Oryctolagus cuniculus: one gene and its partner. The protein of the gene in region 1 binds, or shares a complex with, the protein of each later gene. Links are inferred from orthologs where the notes say so. Each region holds a gene or a part of one and is shown in the gene's direction. Other genes may lie near its edges.

Region 1 (5,968 bases):
GAGCACCTTGGAAAAGGGTCCCTGCTGTGATATTCCTTACAGAGCTTCCTTGAGGTCCTGTCTCTGCTGAAATGACAAACCTCACCTAACGCACTGAACATAACCTTATTCAAAAATGTGAGGGGAAAAAGACACACATATGGGTCAACCAGAAGGTTCTTTGTGAGAATCATGTATGACACATACACAAAAGTCCAAATACCAGACTTTGTAAATTATAAAGTGTGGGGCAGAGTAGAGGTAAGAGTACAGCAATAGGGATCAAACACTTCGGTCTGAATTTCTGCTAAACTTTTTATCATGGGATCCCTTTGAGAATGTTCAGGACAGCCTTCTGAGTTGCTTCTTCTATAGAACAGAGGAACTAACATCTATCATATGGACTTACTGTTTGGGTTTAAAGAAGTAAAACTGCTGAGGAGTACAGCGAAGTGCCTAACACAGGGAGCTTTTCAAAATATACAGTTAGTAATGATTATTGCCCATGTTTACTCTGCTTATTCTGAGCAATGATGACAGAATTTGAATTATTTGTAAATTCAAGACATGGGAAGTTTCTTTCATATGTTATTTAGAAATTTTTTGAGAAACCAGAAACAAGCTATCACTCAACATTTTATGATTACTCAGAGATGCATACTACATTTTATGGTAATTTGTATATCATTCTATTCATATTTTTCCAGTGTGTAAGGTCCCAGCTTTCATTTTTACTCTCATCTTTTATATTCAAGCTGAATTGGGTAAATGTGATCATGGCAGTGACTTAGAAACTATGTCTCCCTTTGATTCCTGTGCTAGTTAGCAGCTCCCCTCCACATGAGAAAATGAAATATATCAGGCATATTCTATGGCTCAACTGTAGTTCATTATCTTTGGAACTCTATGAGATAAGCATTATATTTTCCACTTTACATTTGGAGAAACTGAGATTTTAGGATGGCTAGTGGCCTCTCTAAAGTCTACCCATTCAATGGATGGAAAAATGAGGACTAGAACCCAAGTCTGCCTGACTTTATAAAGCAAAGAATGCCAACATAACTTCATAAAGAAAGAGGGGATATCAGGGCCACAAAATATGAGATGTGATAGGAAAGATATTGCCTGTTGGAATCTTTGCTAGATTTTTATTTGGAGGAAGTTGAAAGAGTAGAAGATAAGTTTTATAAAATGTATTTTTCAAACATAAAACTACATATTTAAGAAGATAATTTCTGAGTAGCATTTTTCAATGTCTCTCAGAAGCATTTACTTCTTTTGCAGTAACTACACTTGCTTAGGTATACCTATGCATTTTGAAAGTCTATGCTGTGACACTTGGCCATACTTATCAAGTCACTTTTTAAAACTTATGGGTCATTTAATAATGTGTAAATAAAATATGTACAGTCAAAATATATTTTTACATAAGCTCCTCACTCCTCACTCCAATACCTGTGTTTTTGATATTGACCAAAGTTCTTTGGCTGCCTTTTCATTGAATTGACAAGAGACCAACATGTAACCCAGACAAGGTTTGCTGGAGGCTTGTGCTCCCACACAATGGAGACAGCATGGTACTGGCTCCCCAGTGGGAATTGAACAGGAATTTTTATTGTTCTGGGGAGGAGTGACTGTGCTTTTTCTGTTTCTGCCTTGTATTCTTTTGCATACAGTTCTTCAGTTTGAACTCAGCTCCATGTTCTGTGTAGGTGCAGTTGCTTCACAACACACTCAAATTGACAGTGTTGCTCACTACTGCCACCTAAGAAGATTATATATGGGTCTCACAGGGCTATTGTGGGCTTGTAAGCTGGCTGAGGAAGTCACTAATTAGGCATAAGGAGTCTTTTATGGTGGTTAGAGTATGAATGCTCCTGATTGGTTTGGAGCTGGAGGTAGATACAAGCAAGTTGGGAGGGGTTTGGCTGAATGAGGCATCTTCCCAACCTGACTCAGTTTCAGTGCCTTCCCATCTCATCACAAACACATCCACTTCCTGACAAGGAGAGAGGAAGAAAAGGGGAAACTTGGATGGAAAGGAAGGGTTAGTGGGTGCTGAGGGCAAAGTGTAATACTGTGGGTAAGATACTTTGGGTTAGGCCATCTACTGCCTGGATATCATGTACTGCAGGTTAGGTTTTAATGTCCTTATTTAACGAATTAGTCATATATTGAATTTCGGCTCAGCACTGTTAGACTTCACATTAAACCACACTGCCTCCAAGAGGAGCCAGGGATGCGCTTTCAGTAAATGGGAAGTGTTCTTTACATGGAAATTTCTGTGTTGAATGGACATAGATGAATTAATTATGATAAAGTCTACAAACCCGAATTATTTAGGAAGTAATTAACATAATGATTTTTCCAACATACTTTGGTTCTTGACCTCTGAAAATCTGATGGTATAGTCTGGAATGTTTAAGCTCTATAGATCTCAGAGGAAGCATTCTCTAAACAAAGCCATCCTTTTAATTCAGTTTCGGTGGAAAAGTGTTCTAAACTTCATGTTATAATGGAAAGAATGATTCGAGTTTATAAAGAATCTTTCTGATCCACCTTGAAAATTACTGTACCTTCCAAAGAAAGATGAGACAAATGATATATTTTAAAAATTTCTCTTTTTAAAAAATTTCTCAAGAGTAAAGAAAGATAGAATTATTTCTCACCTACTCTACTGGACTACATTTAGTGCTATGACAGCTATAAGAAGAACTCAGGCTGTTTTGTTTAGGTAATACATTTTAAATTACAAACCAGTGGCACAGTAGCAAACAAAAATCAATATACCTAATTGTATTTTAGCCACTGAAATTTTATACACTTAAAAATTGAAAACTATTTGCATTAAAAAACATTATAGTTGTAATGATTGATTTTCCAAACTAACCCTGAGGAAAAAATGTTTTATTATTGTCTTACACAAAAGAAAGCAAAAAAGGTATTTAAAAATGCTTGAAGTTGAGCAACATTGGGTCAAAATGAATTGTAATCCACAAAATAAAATGTACATTACATGCAAGTCTGTTGAAAGGATCTTTCTGCATATTCAACTATGTATCTATCTATGTTATCTTGTTTGACTTAAAAATGGTGTACTTCTTTTAAAGGCAGAGTGACAGAGAAAGGAGGAGGGAGAAGAAGAGAGAGAGACAGAGTCCCCCATATGCTGGTTCAATCCCCAAGTATCTACAACAAGCAGGACTGAGCTATGCCAAAGCCATGAGCCAGGAACTCCAAGCAGGTCTTCCAAATAAGATGAGGGGCAGGGGCCAAAAACCTTAAGCCTTCTTGTGCTGCCTTCCCAGGAACATTAGCAGGAATCTGGATCCCAAGCAGAGCAGCTGGGACACCATCCAGCACTCGCATGTAGGATGCCTGCATCTCAAACAGCAGAACCAGTTCCATGTCTTTTTAATTTAAATATTTTTGAACAAAGTCCTAGAATAAAAGCTAAATAAAGTCATAGATCTTTTTTCTTATTACCCTAAATGTCTAGAACAGTTATTTTACATGTTAGACACTCAGTGAACATGTAAAGGATAAGTGAATGAAAAAGTAAAGACAATAATCCAAAGCTATTTACTTTATGGGTTTTACATGAGGATAGAGGAAAATGCTATTGTCTCTTGTCTTTTAGATACACAAAAATGAAGACTGCCACCAACATTTACATATTTAACCTGGCTTTGGCAGATGCTCTAGTTACTACAACCATGCCCTTCCAGAGCACAGTCTATCTGATGAATTCCTGGCCATTTGGAGATGTGCTGTGCAAGATAGTCATTTCCATCGACTACTACAACATGTTCACCAGCATCTTCACCCTGACCATGATGAGTGTAGACCGCTACATCGCTGTGTGCCACCCTGTGAAGGCTTTGGACTTCCGCACGCCCTTGAAGGCCAAGATGATCAATATCTGCATTTGGCTGCTGTCATCCTCTGTTGGCATATCCGCGATAGTCCTCGGAGGCACCAAAGTTAGGGAAGGTGAGTGCTCTCATTTTCACCCTGTTTGTGAAAATGACTTCTGACCATACAGACTTAATTCAGAAGTGAACAGAGCACAACTAAAGAAAAAAGTCAAAAGAGAGTGGGAAGGAGTTATGTAAATACAAGCGTAGTTGAAAACAGTTCACGGAAAATTTGAATTGAAAGGCAAGTTTAGTTTGGTGCAAACATATTTTGAAATTCATGCATTGTTTCTTTTTTAATAATACATTTTTTCCACAAAACTTTTGAGGACCCATCGTAGAACCCCTACACCTGTGAAGATGGAAAACACATCGATTTTGTGTCTCTCCCTCCTCTGAACACAGAGTAGGATATGGACAACACGAGAACACAGGCGCTCGGCTCTTCTGTTCTGGAAGTGCTTCTCAGAGTCTGGAGGGGTGAAGACCAAGTAAATAAGGTTGCACTTTTGGAACACAACCTAGAGATTCCAGGCACAACTTCTCACTCCTTTTCATTCTCTGTAACGAGGAACCTAACTCATTAGATGCTTATTCAGGTTCTTGTTTCCTTTTCCTAAAAGAATTTCTCCACACCACTGTCTTGTTGTTTGTCTGTAGGTCATTCAAAGCCAGCTTCAAAAGTTGATGTTACCCATAGATGGGCAACATCATTCTGTTTTGGACATATTTGTTCTTGCCTCATGGAAATAGGATGATTGATGTTCTCCCTGTAGTTCTTATTCTGGACTGCACATTGAAATCCCTTTAGATACTTTAGAAAACACTGCTATTGGAGTCCAGCCCCTGGAGGGTCTGGTTTAACTAGTGTGGCATGGATGTCAGGACATTTAATATGTCATCATATGACTCTGGCCTGCATCCAAGATAAGAACTACTGTTCTAGGATTTTACTTTACTAGAAAGAGAGAAAACTATGGACATATCTCTGTTTCTAATAGAAATTCACTTGGGGGGAGGGGAGTAGAACAGTCACTCTGGACTTTATAATATTATTTGGGGGCTCCAACAGGAGTCTAAATGCTCCAGTTTATTGGGGATATTCATGATACTTGTGAGAACAGAAAATTGAATATGTGCGGTGAGAACTTTTCAGGTAACAGTAAAAGGGCTGGCACTAAAATCATAGCTTATTTTTCATGATGCATGTTTTTCTTTTCTTTGTTTTTGACAGATAGAGTTAGACAGTGAGAGAGAGAGAGACAGAGAGAAAGGTCTTGCTTCCATTGGTTCACCCCCGCAAATGGCCGCTATGGCCAACGCCACGCTGATCTGAAGCCAGGAGCCAGGTGCTTCCTCCTGGTCTCCCATGCTTGTGCAGGGGCCCAAGCACTTGGGCCATCCTCCACTGCCCTCCCGGGCCACAGCAGAGAGCTGCCCTGGAAGAGGAGCAACCAACACTAGAACCTGGTGCCCATATGGGATGCTGGTGCTACAGGCGAAGTAACCAAGTGAGCCACGGCGCCGGCCGATGCATGGTTTTTATAGACAAATTTTTAGAGCAGCTTTAGGTTCATGGCAAAGTTGGATAGAAAGTATAGAGTTTCCCTATAGCTCCCACTCTCACACATGCACAGTCTCCATGACTATCAATGTCTCCCACCAGAGTAGGACATTTATTAAAACTGATGAATGACAATGACACATTATCACCCAGAGTTTATACTGGGGTTCACTTTTGGGGCTATACATTCTGTGGGTTTGTACACATGTATGATGACACGTATCCTTTTCCTAAAAAAATCCCCTTCCTTCCTTCCTTCCTTCCTTCCTTCCTTCCTTCCTTCCTTCCTTCCTTCCTTCCTTCCTTCCTTCCTTCCTTCTTTTCTTTCTCTTTCTTTCTTTCTTTCTTTCTTTCTTTCTTTCTTTCTTTCTTTCTTTCTTTCTTTCTTTCTTTCTTTCTTTCTTTCTTATTAATTAATTCATTTGAAACACAAAGAGGAAGAGACAGGGAACTCCTGTATATTGGTTCATTCCCCCAAATGCCTGCAGCAGCTGTGACTGGATCAGGC
Region 2 (5,968 bases), on another chromosome or scaffold:
CCGGGACCCATCTGGTATTGCTCGATGATGTACTCTTAAAAAAGAGAGAGACAGGATCGCTTGGGGAAGCCTCAAGCCTGTGTCTCTAGTACAGCTTCCTTTTTAACACAGAGGAAGCTGCTTATCAGGAGCCCGACTCTCCCAGGCACAAGCTTGAACCTGCGAGTTTCCCTCTCCCAGCCTCAGTCTCACCCCTCTGCACAATGGGTATAAGAACACCCATCTCTTGTATGACTGTGAGGATTCGGAACTAAAAATGCACAAAGTGGCCAGGGCTGGCTGGCACCCAGCAGGCTCCTGAGAACTGGTGGCTGCTTCCAGATTGGAGGAATGAGGGGCGCTCAGCCCAGCCTGGTGCCCAGCAGGCCTTCCACCTGGTGGGGGCTAGTGTGGAAACCTGCGGGGAGCAGCTGGAGGTCGGAGCTGGGCAACTGAAGGGGTCTGGCCGGCACGCAGAGGTTCAGGCCCCTTCAGCCAGACTATCTGGTCACAGACCCCAGCATCGCTGCTTGCTTGCTTTGGAGTCTTGGCTGGCGTCTTACCTCAGTTTCTTCATCTGTAAATTGGGTATGGTAATAGTATTCTCTCCATTGAGTTGCTGCGAGTAGAAGTGAATTAAGGCATGAGATTGCTCGGAACCTCTTACCCGATACCCAGATCTGCTGGAATTGTTGCTATAGACAGACTTAACAGATGAAAGGAAAAGTTGCCCACAATTGTTTTTACCTGGACTGGAGATCTCAGACTGGGTCTCCTACAGAAACAGACAAGCCGTGTGGGAGGCCTCCTGCCGGAGTTAGTGGCTGGAGCAGGCTTCCCAGGTCTTGTGGGTTCATTCACTGCTAACCCAATCTTTCCTTTTTTTCATTTTATTTGAAAGGCAATGAGACAGAGAGACATGCCCACAAAAGCCAGGGCTCGGCCAGGCTGAAGCCAGGAGCCAGGAACTCAATCAGGATCCCCCACATGGGTGGTAGGGGCCCCAGCGCTCGCACCGTCACCGGCCTCCTCCCCTCCCAGGGTGTACATTAGCAGGAAGCCGGCTGGGAAGCAGAGGAGCTGGGACGCAGAGCAGGTGCTGTGATGTGGGTGTGGGTGTCCCACGCAGTGTCTGTGCTGCGGCACCAAATGCCCTCCCATCACCACCAGACTCATCCCAGGCTGTCCCAGGCATCGCCAACATCAGAGAAAACACAAGCCGCCTGCTGTCCGTCTCCACGGTAGCTCGCTGGCCTGAAACCCTCCTCGGCTCAGCAGCAGGTGCAGCAAGGGTGAAAGCCAAGGGCAAGAGAGAGACCCCAGGCAGACGCAGGTCTCTTGCCCTGAGCTTCCTACTCGGAGCCTCTCTGTTCCATGGAGCTGATGTTGTCCAGACTCAAGGGAGGCTCACGGGCCTGAGCTCTCCCCTAAATCACTGTGTGACCCCGGGGGATTGGCCAAGCCCCTCCGAGCCCCAGCATTCTCACCCACCTCAGGCCACTGGCAGTGGATTGAGTAAAATGTACAAGCCGAGGGCTCCTGGATCTCAGTGGGGCTGAGCTGGTAATGACCCAAAGTCTCTCCGGAAGTCAGAGCCAGTAGGTGGGGAGTCACCCAGGCAGGTGTCTCCCAGCGTGAGACCCGCCTACCTAACGGGGGAGCAGTAAATGCGACAGTGCCCCCTGGGGGCTTGGGCAGTACGGGCTCAACAAATGGCGACAGGGTCGTTCCTGCGCATGCTCCAGTCAGGGACCCTACTTGCGCTTTGGAGGGGAGACCTTGCTCTGGACAACAGTGTGGGGCTCTGGGCAGGTGGGCTGGAATCTTCTGAACCCCTGAGTACCTGAGTAAACAGGACAGATTGCAGGAACGGGGACCCTGGAGGGAAGGAGAAACGGCCATCTCTGAGTTAGGGGCGTCCGGCTACACAGACCAGACTGGGAGGGCACGGGGCCCCAGCAGCCAGGGGGCGGGGGCCTTGCTGGGACCCTGCCCTCCCTGTTGGGAGAACAGCATATGTCCCATTTGAATCTTGATAAAGGATTTATAAAGAGTTGAACAGGAAAGGGGCAACTTTTTTTTTTTTTTTGACAGGCAGAGTGGACAGTGAGAGAGAGAGAGAGAGAGGTCTTCCTTTGCCGTTGGTTCACCCCCCAATGGCCGCTGCAGCCGGCGCACTGCGCTGATCTGAAGCCAGGAGCCAGGTGCTTCTCCTTTTCTCCCATGCGGGTGCAGGGCCCAAGGACTTGGGCCATCCTCCACTGCACTCCCTGGCCACAGCAGAGAGCTGGCCTGGAAGAGGGGCAACCAGGACAGAATCCGGCGCCCTGACCAGGACTAGAACCCGGTGTGCTGGCGCCGCAGGCGGAGGATTAGCCTAGTGAGCCATAGCGCCGGCCTAAAAGGGGCAACTTTTAACAGACTGTGAAGCCTGCATTCATCTGCCACATGTTTACGGAGGACCTACTCTGCGTTGGTCAGGGACTTAGATGCTAGGGTGCAGCAGGGGACAAGGCAGGACCCGTGCCTTTGAGAAGCTAACATTCTCATGGGGGCTTCCATGGCCACCACCACCACTGCCAGCAGCAGAAATCAAGTTGATGGGAAGCTGTGGGGCGGGGACTGAGGTGAGAGGGACGGAAGGAGGCAGCCACGTTAGACTCAGGCAGCGGTGGGTGCTTCTCTGCTGATGGGGTAATTGATCTGCTTAACGGGTACGAAGGAGTGAACCACATGAAAATCTGAGGTCACAGGACTGCAGACAGGGGAGCAGAATGTGCAAAGGCCCTGAAGTAGGAGCAAGCAAGGATTACAGAGAAGAAAAACCATGGTGCCTGTCTTTGTAGAACCAAAGTCCAAAGGTGCACACAGCTCAGCACCAGGCTGTGGGTGGTTTTCTTGGAAGAGCTGCAGGGTGTGGAATAGGAGCAGCTCAGCCCTCCTAAGAGATCAGGGAGAACTGCCTGGAGGAAGCGAGAGTTTCATCTAATTGCAGTGACAGACAGAAGAGGCGGGACAGGTTTTCCAGTGTATGCAGAGGCCCAGGGTGAGACAGAGCCTGCTGCAATCATTTGGGGGACTGCAAGTAGCTAAATGCGGTTGGAGCCCAGAGCTAAAGTATTGGGGTGCAAGGATGAGACTGGGGGTGTTCTTGACATTTAAGCAGAACAGCCAGTCCTGGCCCTTCCCAAGGGCTCTGATCACAAAACTGTTAGGCTGCCAAGGGCATTTCGGGGCGGGCAGGAAGGTCAGGGAGGGACTGGAGGCAGGGAGGCCGGCATGGAGAGGCGGGCAAGGAGGACCCACGGCCAGGGCAGTAGCGGTGCTGGGGTACAGAAGGCAAATCCCAAGACTTTACAAAGCAGAGAGGACTGGCCTGGGACAGCTTGGGGAGCAGGGGGCCTCGGAGAGCCCAGGCGAGGATGCGGCCGATGATGTCCTGGCTTGGCGGATGTTGGTGTGGGCTCTGAGGTCCGACAAGGCCCAGGTCAGGTCCTGGCTCGCCCACTTCCTGGGCACGTGCAGTCACCTCCGCATCTCTGAGCCTCAGCTTCCCCAGCTTGCAATGAAGACAGCACAGCGCACCTCGAAGAGCAGGCTGAGCGCGAGCGCACGGGGAAGCTCCCAGCACGGGGCAGGCACTCAGCCCTCGGCACTTCCCTCCCTCCATCCCCGGCCTTGGGCACCCACTCCACCTCTCCGGGCCTCTGCTTTCTCAGCTATAGGCTGGGCCCACGAGGGAGGCCTTGCGGCACTGCTAGCAGGAGGTTAAGAACCGAGTGCACGGGCTCAGGACACACCCCAGGGTGGTGATGGCAAACTCCATAATCTTCTCTGTCTCCCTCCCCAGCTGCAAGAGCGGAGACAGAATGGCGTGGCCGGTGCTGCTTGCCTGCCTCCTCGCGCTCCCTTCGGCCACAGCAGACTGCCTGTCCCGGTGTTCCTTGTGTGCTGTGAAGACCCAGGATGGACCCAAGCCCATCAACCCCCTGGTGCGTTGCAGGCAAGGAGAGGTCACAGGCCTGGGCAGCTGTGCCTGTCTTGGAGACTGGCCCACCAGGCAGGGCTTGTTCTGCCCTGTGGACAGCCTGGGCTCTGGGGGCTGCCATTGTCCAGCTCCCATTCCCACCCCAGACCTCACCCAGGCCATGTTGCAGGTTTCCATGGAGCCTGGTGCCTGGCAACTAGGAGTGCCAGTCATGAGCTGCTGGCTTCTGCACACAGCAGCCCTAGATGAACTTCCAGGGCTTCTCAGCGCTGGGCTGATGGGCCCCTCCTGTCGCTCTTGTGGCAGGCACTGTGTCCACCACCCCCGAATGACCTGCCTGGCAGGGTCAAAGCCTGACCTCTCTCCTGAGTCTTAGCATCTGTCGACCCAGCCTCGTTAGCTCTGCTCTGAATCAGGCTCCCACCAGAAGGGCGGGGTAGAGTTTCCAAGGATGTAGTGGACACAGCACAGGCTTTGGTCCTGACCCTTGCTTGCCCCATGACCCTGGAACTCCCTCTCTGAACCTCGGTTTCATCATCTACAAAATGGGGGGTGCTTCCCTAAGATCGTGATGGAAAGTACTCAATATACAATTCTAGCCCCTGCTAACTGAGAGGCTGCCCAAACATGCTCTCAGGAAAGCAGGACAACTCATGGCACTGGACTGCCTGGGTTCATGTTCCAGGACTGGGCACCTTGGCCAATACCAATGTCGTCTCATCACCACCACAATTCAATTCTCCCAGCAATCCTATGAAGTAGGTACTATTGTCTCCCTAGCCCCAGGCTCGAGGAACCCACACATGTGCCCTCACCTGCGTGCTTTCTACCATTCTGTGTCCCTTTGTGCCTCTCTCCACCGTGTGACCAGCATTCTTGACACCTGGGAAGGGTAGGGAGAACCACTCACTGCCCTGGAAGAGGCAGGGTGATCTCAGAGTTTGATGGGCTCTGGGTTCTACTCCAGGCATTGCACCTGTGCTTGTGCCCTTGGGAACACTGTTGTCCTTTTGCAAATTTGTTTTCTCCACCCTCACATGGTCACACAGCCACCTATCTTGATGCACCAATGGGTATCTCAGTGCTTAGCAATGTGGTTCATTCGGATCTTCTCAGGCATCTGACAGAGGGCTCCAGGGTGGGGACGTGCAGGGTTGCATGGTTTGATGGGGGTGATGTTACCGCTGTGGTCTCTGGGGTCTTTTGCAGATCTGCTCCCTGGAATGCCAGGCTGCCCTGCTGCCCTCTGAGGAATGGGAGAGATGCCAGGGCTTTCTGTCTTTCCTCACCCCCTCCACTCTCCAGCTCAATGGCAATGAAGACGTGGAGAGCAAGGTGGCTTTGGAAGAGCCCTATAGTGAGCTGGCCAAGCTCACAGGGCCCTTGCTGCAGGAGCTGGAGACAAGGCAGTTCTTCCCCAATACCCCAACAAAGGAAAACACTCTGAGCCAGAGCCTGGAAGAGAAACTCAGGGGCCTCTCGGGTGGGCTTGGGGAGGGAGCAGAATCTGAACTCACGGGGGGTGCTCAGCTGCACAACAGCGCTGTGGAGGCAGGTGGCCTCGATTTCCAAGAGGAGGACCCCAAGGTGCAGGTCAAACGCTATGGCGGCTTTTTGCGCAAGTACCCCAAGAGGAGCTCGGAAGCAGCTGGGGAGGGGGAGAGGGTGGGCCACGAGGACCTGTACAAACGCTACGGGGGCTTCCTGCGGCGCATCCGTCCCAAGCTCAAGTGGGACAACCAGAAGCGCTACGGGGGTTTTCTCCGGCGCCAGTTCAAGGTGGTGACCCGGTCTCAGGAGGACCCCGATGCCTACTCTGAAGAGCTGTTCGATGCATAAACACCTCCCCAGCACGGAGTTGAGTTGAGAGCTTCCCCTGACACCTTCCCATCCTCTTGTGTACACCTTCCCCCCCTTCCTCCCGCCACTTAGTGCAGCATTGCCTACAACATAACCAAGCCCAGCCTCCCCCTCTTCTGCCTGGGTGTACAGTGTGGGAAG

The links.
Region 2: the proteins of OPRK1 (region 1) and PDYN are in contact, whole or in part, in a cryo-EM structure (PDB 8F7W), measured with the Homo sapiens proteins. The link is inferred for Oryctolagus cuniculus from reciprocal best matches to the Homo sapiens genes OPRK1 and PDYN. Residues at the interface, in NP_000903.2 of Homo sapiens: Thr111, Gln115, Trp124, Val134, Ile135, Asp138, Tyr139, Met142, Lys200, Glu209, Cys210, Asp216, Tyr219, Lys227, Val230, Phe293, Ile294, Glu297, His304, Ala308, Leu309, Tyr312, Tyr313, Ile316, Tyr320; in NP_001177821.1 of Homo sapiens: Tyr207, Gly208, Gly209, Phe210, Leu211, Arg212, Arg213, Ile214.

The regions. Positions count from the first base shown.
Region 1 is NC_091437.1:78,045,412-78,051,379, reverse strand, and holds part of OPRK1 (kappa-type opioid receptor), read left to right. Parts: intron 1-3,619; coding exon 3,620-3,972; intron 3,973-5,968. UniProt on the Homo sapiens protein: G-protein coupled opioid receptor that functions as a receptor for endogenous alpha-neoendorphins and dynorphins, but has low affinity for beta-endorphins.
Region 2 is NC_091442.1:27,669,933-27,675,900, reverse strand, and holds part of PDYN (proenkephalin-B), read left to right. Parts: intron 1-3,829; 5' UTR 3,830-3,848; coding exon 3,849-3,971; intron 3,972-5,176; coding exon 5,177-5,806; 3' UTR 5,807-5,968.